Bombyx mori: one gene and its partner. The protein of the gene in region 2 binds, or shares a complex with, the protein of the main gene of each other region. Links are inferred from orthologs where the notes say so. Each region holds a gene or a part of one and is shown on either strand. Other genes may lie near its edges.

Evidence for each region.
Region 1: DNA replication licensing factor MCM4 (region 2) and probable DNA replication complex GINS protein PSF2 share a complex: the UniProt entries of both Homo sapiens proteins name them as parts of the CMG helicase complex. The link is inferred for Bombyx mori from reciprocal best matches to the Homo sapiens genes MCM4 and GINS2.

The regions. Positions count from the first base shown.
Region 1 is NC_085116.1:1,524,566-1,528,788, forward strand, and holds probable DNA replication complex GINS protein PSF2, read left to right. Parts: upstream 1-1,393; 5' UTR 1,394-1,926; coding exon 1,927-2,171; intron 2,172-2,612; coding exon 2,613-2,785; intron 2,786-3,058; coding exon 3,059-3,354; 3' UTR 3,355-3,818; coding exon of another isoform or gene 3,819-3,896; 3' UTR 3,897-4,017; downstream 4,018-4,223. UniProt on the Homo sapiens protein: Required for correct functioning of the GINS complex, a complex that plays an essential role in the initiation of DNA replication, and progression of DNA replication forks.
Region 2 is NC_085125.1:2,555,158-2,558,781, forward strand, and holds part of DNA replication licensing factor MCM4, read left to right. Parts: intron 1-2,408; coding exon 2,409-2,519; intron 2,520-2,674; coding exon 2,675-2,838; intron 2,839-3,624. UniProt on the Homo sapiens protein: Acts as a component of the MCM2-7 complex (MCM complex) which is the replicative helicase essential for 'once per cell cycle' DNA replication initiation and elongation in eukaryotic cells.

The sequences.
Region 1 (4,223 bases), on a different chromosome or scaffold from region 2:
TTACGATTCCACTTAAAATTGTTCTATAACTACGATTTTTTTTAAAGTAGATTTTTTTTATTTTAGTGCCACCTAGTTCAATCATCTGAACTACGCCAGCTTTAGTGAAAACAAACCATCTATGTCAGTTATTTAAATGTAGCATAGATGACGCTTAAATAAGCAAATTTAAAGAAAACATGTAAATTAAAACTTAATTACCTACTTCCAGTATCGCCATTCATACAGCTATTTAAAACACTGGATTTATGAAACTTATTTCATAAATTCGATCTACTAAGTCGTATTATTTAAACGTTATTCCCGCCAATTTTCCTTTTTTTTAAGGGATTTTATGAACTGGTAACTAAGACTTTTAGGTCATTTTTCGTATTTTCGTATTTTAATTTATATTCATAGTTTTATGAAAAATGATAATATGGAGTGAAATGAAATGAAAATAATTAATTTGAGACATTAATCAACTGGGATGAAATATAATCTCAGTAAAATGGTGGTCACTTACCGCCAAAAAATCTGCATCACTATGTCAGTATGTCAAAGCATAGAACACTTACTATTTGAGTTTCAAAGTCAAACAATTAAGCTCTATAAACAAGAGTAAATATCAGTGGTCTCGAACCTACCGATTTTTCGGTATATCTACCGATATGGGCACTGATCTATTGAAATACCGAAATAAAATGATTTTTCTACGATTTCAGAGTATACATGGAAATTCTCCCGATTTTTCTACCGATTTGACACTTTTAGACATTATTGATCCAAAACATGTTAAAATTGGCAAGACTACTTCGATACTACTTAAAAGTAGGCTCTTTCCCAATATTGTTCAGAGCAATGATTTCCAGGAAATTGATAGAGTAGCGCATTTTAAGAAATTGTGAATAAATCAAAACATTTCCTAATGATGTAGAACTATTTTGGGAAGAAGTAACTTTATTAAAACGTGGCGATGAAACTCAAATGTTTCCTTTGTTGTCTAATTTCATCCTTAATATTTTATCACTTTCCTATTCATCCGCTAACGTTGAACGCATATTTATTCTTTTGAAAACAAAACAGCGAAATAGGCTGTCTACTGAGTCAATCACTGGTCTATTACATGCAAAACGACTCTATAATACAGCTAATTGCTATGATTTTGAAATTAATTCAACGATGACTGCAGCTATGGCCAAACAATATTGGTATAAAAAATATTTATTCTTAAATATGATTGTTATAAATTAGTATGTAAGTTTTTTTTTCAATAAATAAACGCATTTGATTGAATATTGTATATTTTTTGACTAATACCGATTTTGGGTACAAAATAGTACAAATGTACCGATTTTAGCTGGCAAGTCTACTAATCTCGCTCTATGACGTTTGAGATCAGTGATAAAGATAAGGCGACTTTTTGGCGGGAACGCGAGGAGTGAAGTTGTGTGTTTTGTTTTATTTTGTCTATTTAGTGTTTCTTGGGTTTATATGTGTAATAATGGTGGTTTATTAACTGTTTAATATCTGTGAAAGTGCAAAAATGTGGGAAAATGAAACAAAGCCGCTGGACGTCACTTCTCGGGATCCTCCAAAAGTCCAACGAAAAAATCTCAGTAAATGACCACCATTTTACTGAGATTATAGTTCATCCCATATCATCTCATCTCATTTCATTTGATTTCATCCCAGTTAATTAATGTCTCAAATTAATTATCTTCATTTCATTTCATCATTTTTCATAAAAATAAGAGTATAAATTAAAATAAGACATGACTTAAAAGTCTTAGTTACCAGGTCATAATATAAAATACCTAAAAAAATATGATAAATAAAAACATGATAAAGGTAGGTAATATTCCTAAATTTTTAACCAAAATGAATTAAATTAAATATATGTATATTATTAAATGATTATAAATTATTAAAACCATAAAAATAATAATGGAACCTTATGAAATCGAGTTTATTGGTGAGAATCGGATAATCAGTATAACACCAAACTTTACCCATGATAAAATATACTTGATATGCGGTGAATTTGGTCCGTTTCGTGCTGGTTTACCTGTGAACGTACCACTCTGGCTGGCTATCATGCTAAAGCAGAAACAAAAGTGCCATGTTATCCCTCCTGACTGGATGGACGTGGAAGTTTTGGAGAATATTAAAGAAGAGGAAAAGCGTTCCAGGTTTGTCAATATATTTAATAAATTTGGTTTTTTACAAAACACACCAGTTTCAAAACTTTGATCTTTCTAGGTGGTCCAGTTTATTCCAGATACAATTTAATATTTTGTTTATACAACTTCCATGTCTTAATTTTAAATCAAAAAGTATATTTTATTATTATGGTTTATGTTATAAATACCTTCTAGAGCCATCCATTCTAACACTGATACTAAACAATAACTATTAGTGGTCTACCTGTTAATAAATCTCAAATTGTAACATGATTAAAAAACTTGAAGTTCATTGGTCAATAAATATATCTTTGCCAGTACTCATGAAAGGGTGTGTAAATATAAAATCTATCATTAAATGGCGTTTGAGAATTATCAGCAAGATAAAGCAAGTAGTTGTAGTAGTCAAAGTTTTCACATTAAATCTTCCTAAAATTATCAAACTACCAGATTCTTCACAAAGATGCCAAATGAACACTATATGGTGGAAGCCAAACTGATACTTGGTTCAGCTGCCGAAGATGTTCCCAATGCACCAGAAATAAAGACTATTATCAAAGACATCTGGGATATAAGAATGTCTAAGTTACGAACATCAATGGATGCATTGATGAAAACTGGAGGTTTGTAATGATTCCTTTAAAATACTTTACTTTTAAGTACTTTTAACTTACATTTTAAAGATTTTTGAATTGAGAGGATTTTATATTTTATTTTATTGTAACTGATGATATTGTAAACCTGCATGGATCAGAAAGCCTATAATGATGATATGTGGTCTTCGGTAACAACTTAACACCAGAATGGTATGCTTAAATTAAGATAAGAAAAAAATATAGAATGTGACTTACTCAGTCATAAGTTAAATTCAGGACATTTATAATTGACATTTTCAGGTGGCTATGGCAGATTAGATCATTTAACAATGATGGAAATAAACTCAGTGAAACCTCTTCTACCTGCTGCTATGGACAACCTCTTAAGGATGCAAATGGTAAGAACATGTGTGACAAATTGTAATATACTCTCCTTTAGACACATCCTTCTGTATTTTCATCTCCACTTTGTCCTTTTTACGAATATCTCTGAATGTATGTACCATCCTTCGGACCATCTTATACGTGACACATTTATGCATTCTACTCTGAAGGATCCTTGGATTTCTGTTCTAGACTTCACTCTCGTGTCCTAGTAGAAGGGCAAATCACATTGTTGTGATGATGATGTGTGTTACCAAAACTAAAACTGTGAGTGTGCAGTGAGTTCAGCTAACCTAAGGTTTAGTAACTACGGTAATTTGGAGTTTGTAAACCTGGTCTTATCAATATCATTGTTAAACTTAAATTCGGTATTGAAGATTTTTTTATTTGTTTTATAGAGTAAATTACAGTAAGCTGTCTTTAGACTTTCAACTGTAGTTTTGACAAAAATAATTTGATAGGCAGTACACGCACAATGTCCATATCAGTGAATCTACACTGGATCTAGTAGATCTGAAGACACTCTTCTTCAGTCTTCTTGTTGTCATTTGGTTGTCCGTTAGATGCTTAGCAAGGTTATTTGGGTGGGCTTTAAAATTGAAGATCTGAGTGCAATTATTCTTATATGTACTTGCAGTACAGTTTTGTAACAAATAATCAACTTTTTGTTTTACAGAAAACGAAAAAGACAGCACCATCGCTCAATTTAAATAGTTCAACCTTCAGTCAATCAGGGAGCTCTCAAAATACATAGTTTTAAGTGTAGTTAAGTGTAGTTTAAGTTTAGTAAGTTCTTAATACTTTTTAATGATTTTGTAACAAAGTGGTTGGTAACAATCAAAAAGTGGTAATAACATTAAAAACACTTATTGTAACCTTGTTTTTATTCTTTTTAGATATTTAAAATTGCATGCATTTAGAGTTGATCTTATTATATTAAACATTTGATAACCTGTTGTTTTAGACCGAAACCTCAAATCTCAACAGTTTTTATTTTTCACTGCCTAATCTTCGGTAGCCTACGGGGCTGTTCAACTACGCGCGGACCATTAGGTGGGCTCATGGGCACAACCTGGAAAAA
Region 2 (3,624 bases):
GATTCTGTAAGAAATTACATTTCTTTAAGTTAACTTTTAGGCCAGCGTTTTGTAAGCGATCGAGTACAATAGATAAAGTTTGTAAATGTTCTGAAAGATCTTTCCCTGCTATAGCTATGTCGTCAAAATATACAGCTACATTGGTGATATCACCTAGCAGTTGATCCAGAAAATGTTGAAAAATTGAAGGAGCAGTCGATATTCCAAAAGGCATTCTATTGTATTGGAAATACCCTTTATGGGTTGACAACGTCAAGTACTTTTTCGAATCTGGTGCTATTTCAAATTGTAAGTATGCGTCTTTAAGGTCTATTTTTGAAAATAATTTACCGTTTGCGAGATTTTGGCGTAGTTGATCGAAAATCGGAACTGGGTGTAGGTGTTTAATAAGTACTGGATTAAGTGTAGTTCTGTAGTCTCCACATATCCTAACTTCCCCTGTAGATTTCAGAATGTTAACTGTGGGTGTAGCCCATTCAATAGGTGTAATATTAGGATCTACCTTTTCCACTATCCCTTCTGAGATCAGACGATCTAACTCCCTTTCTATATTCTTTTTCATGCTGAATTTTATAGGCCGTGCAGGAAGGTGGATCGGTTCAGCTTCTGGTTTGACATGTATGTTTACGTAATAATTGTTAACTTTTCCTAGTTTTCCATCAAAGAGTTGTACATGTTTATCCAATATTTGTTTAAGAGTCATCGGTGTTGATGTTTTGATGGAGTATACTGGTTTCGGAAATTCCATTTCAAAAACTTCACTCCAATGTAAACCAAATAACATTGGTTTGGCATTTTTCATTACGACCACAGGTAGAAGTTTTTGCAGTCCGTCGACTTCGACTGTTACTTTTGTAATTCCCTTTGTTTTTAAGTTTGTGTTACCGTAGGCCTTAAGTTTCGGGGCGGGTTGTAAAGATGGTGATCCTAATTTTTTCCATAATGTCGTGTTTATTATTGAATACGCAGAGCCGGGGTCCCAATCCATAGTGCAAGGTATGTCATTGATGCGTACATCGATTTGTTTGCATTCTCTCTTACGTGTACCCAAGACGCTGCAGATAACTTCATCATCGCTTTCTTCCTTGTTATTACTGATAGATGATGATGATGATGTTGAGGATTTATGAGGTCTTGTTATTTTTTTTAATTGATTTTCGGCTCCCTTCTGAATAGCTGATGTATGCCCGTCCAGACTTAATGCAACAACTCTCAAAGTGTGCTTTCGTGTTACATTCTTTACACATATGGTCCTTGGCTGAGCACTGTGATAGGCTGTGCCGTTCTTTCTTTCCACAGCGTAAACAATGCATTGGATTTAATTTTCGTGTTGTATTTTGATGTAATGGTACGGTTTTGGTTTTGCTCCTATTTATTTTTTTAATACTTGTTCTTGGTGTGTCTTGTTCTGCCTGTTCTCTTGATTGAGAGATTGTAAAAATTTGTTGGAAGGTTACTTCTCGTGGTATTCCGTCTACCATTTGAACTAAATCAGGCCATTTTTGTTTCAAGTCGGTTTCTAAATCTGGATGATTCAATCCAGTGGCAAAGCGGTCACGTAATTGTCGTTCCAGGAAGTCATTAGTGTAGCCACAATCCCGACTAAGACCTTTTAATCTGTTTGCATAGTGTTCCATCGTTTCATTTTGTTCTCTAGTGCAATTCCAAAATTCTGTTAAGGCTCTATACCTCGTCGTTTTTATGCGATAGAGGTCTAATAATTTGTTACAAATTTCGCTGTATGTAGCTATATCGAAATCAGGCGTTAAAGCTACTTTTAATTCGTGGAATATCTCTGGTGTTAGTAAATTCAGAAGCAAATCTTTCTGTAAGTCGCTGTTATCGATATCAAGAATTTTGCATTTGTTTTCGAAAAAATCAATGTAATCGTCAATTCTGAATGTATCTGGATTGTATTTATCCATATTGAAATGTTTGATTATACTTATCTTGTTATCCGTATCATGTTTTGTAAAAGAGTCGTTCGTCACGCTCTTGGCTGTTGTATTGCAAACTGCTGGTACCAACAATTTCAAGATTTGTAAAATCTGCTCTTGCTGGTTTTGTTGTGCATGTAAAAATAATGCGAATTGTTCATCGTTCATCTTAATTTCTTTTAACTCGTCGCCAATATAATAAAACAATGTTTTCAAGACATAGCATAAAAATATAATAATGATAGGTAGCAAAAATGACAATGTGTTTGAAGTATATTTCAAATAATGGAATATGGAAAAGAAGGTTACAACAGTTAAATTTCACCAACCCCTAGGCTTTCACTGATAGATATAGGCATACCTTTAAGTTTGCAATAACTGGTCCTGAGCTATATGCAACCTGCAAATTCCAAATTTTAACACTTCATTTGAAAAGTTTAACAAATTATAATTTGTTGTTAAATTGAACAGATGGCACTCCAAGTACACCACGAGCAGCTCCCGGTCCATCTCGGACACCCCGTACACCTCGTGAAGCTCCAGGAACATCACCTGCTCGAGCTCTTGCATCCAGTCCCATAGGTAAATTGAAATTTTTATATTGTGAAAACAGTGCTTTTCCTACTGTAACTTTGAATTTGTAATGCTACAATCATAAATGCCTTTTTTTTTAATGCATTGTGATATGAGGTTATTTATAACTATAAATCTAGTTTTATTATATTAATAATTTCCAGGCACAGATATAGACATGAGCTCTCCTCTTAATTACGGCACTCCAAGTTCTCTAAGCACTCCTCGCTCGCTCATGAGAGGCATCATGACCCCAGCACGACAGAGGGCTGACCTCCGAGGTCACCATATAGCTCCCAATGTACCGGCACCCACACCTACACGGAGAGTAAGTGTACTTAAAAATTAAAAACAAAAATTTGTCATAATATGCTGCAACAGCCTTACTAACAAACTACTTCACAGATAAAAAATGATGAAGTGGGGTTAGCACAATATTAAAATGTTGAAATGTAATTGTCTATGACCACAAAAACTATTTATGTTTGAAATGTCAGAATAAAATGAAAATAACAAATATTAAATTTAATTAAACCACATAGTTGATTTTGATTAAATTTTGAATTTAAGCAATAAAAAGAAAAAAAAATTAAAACTACACAATATAATCCAAAATATTAAGTGAAACCATTTGTATCCGAACACTCCCTAAATCAATAATCCTTATAGTACACTAGCTGTTAGCCATCTCTTTGCTTGCGTATTTAAGATTCAGTGCCAATTAATTTTTCTAGTGCCGTGTAACTTTTTCTAAAAACAACAAAAAGTTTCTCATTGTAATGAGATGTTTATTGGGATAAACCAACCTAAAACGATTACAAAATAAATAATACAAATTTGTTTCCGTGTTTCAACACGAACGAAGAACAAACAATTCTTGTTCTTCTTTGTCGTTTCCTCATTACTGAGGGTCGTGACCACCTTGGTCCAGTTTTTGCACCAGCTTCCTCCAATGATGCCTGCATTCGGCCTGCTTAATGGCGCCCGGGACGCTGGTGTTTGTGGCCTCCTTGATAATGTCCGTCATTACAAACAATTGCACTAACATTTATAATGCTATTCTGGATACCAATATAATAGTGGTAGGGCATCATTGGATCCCGACAGGTATGTA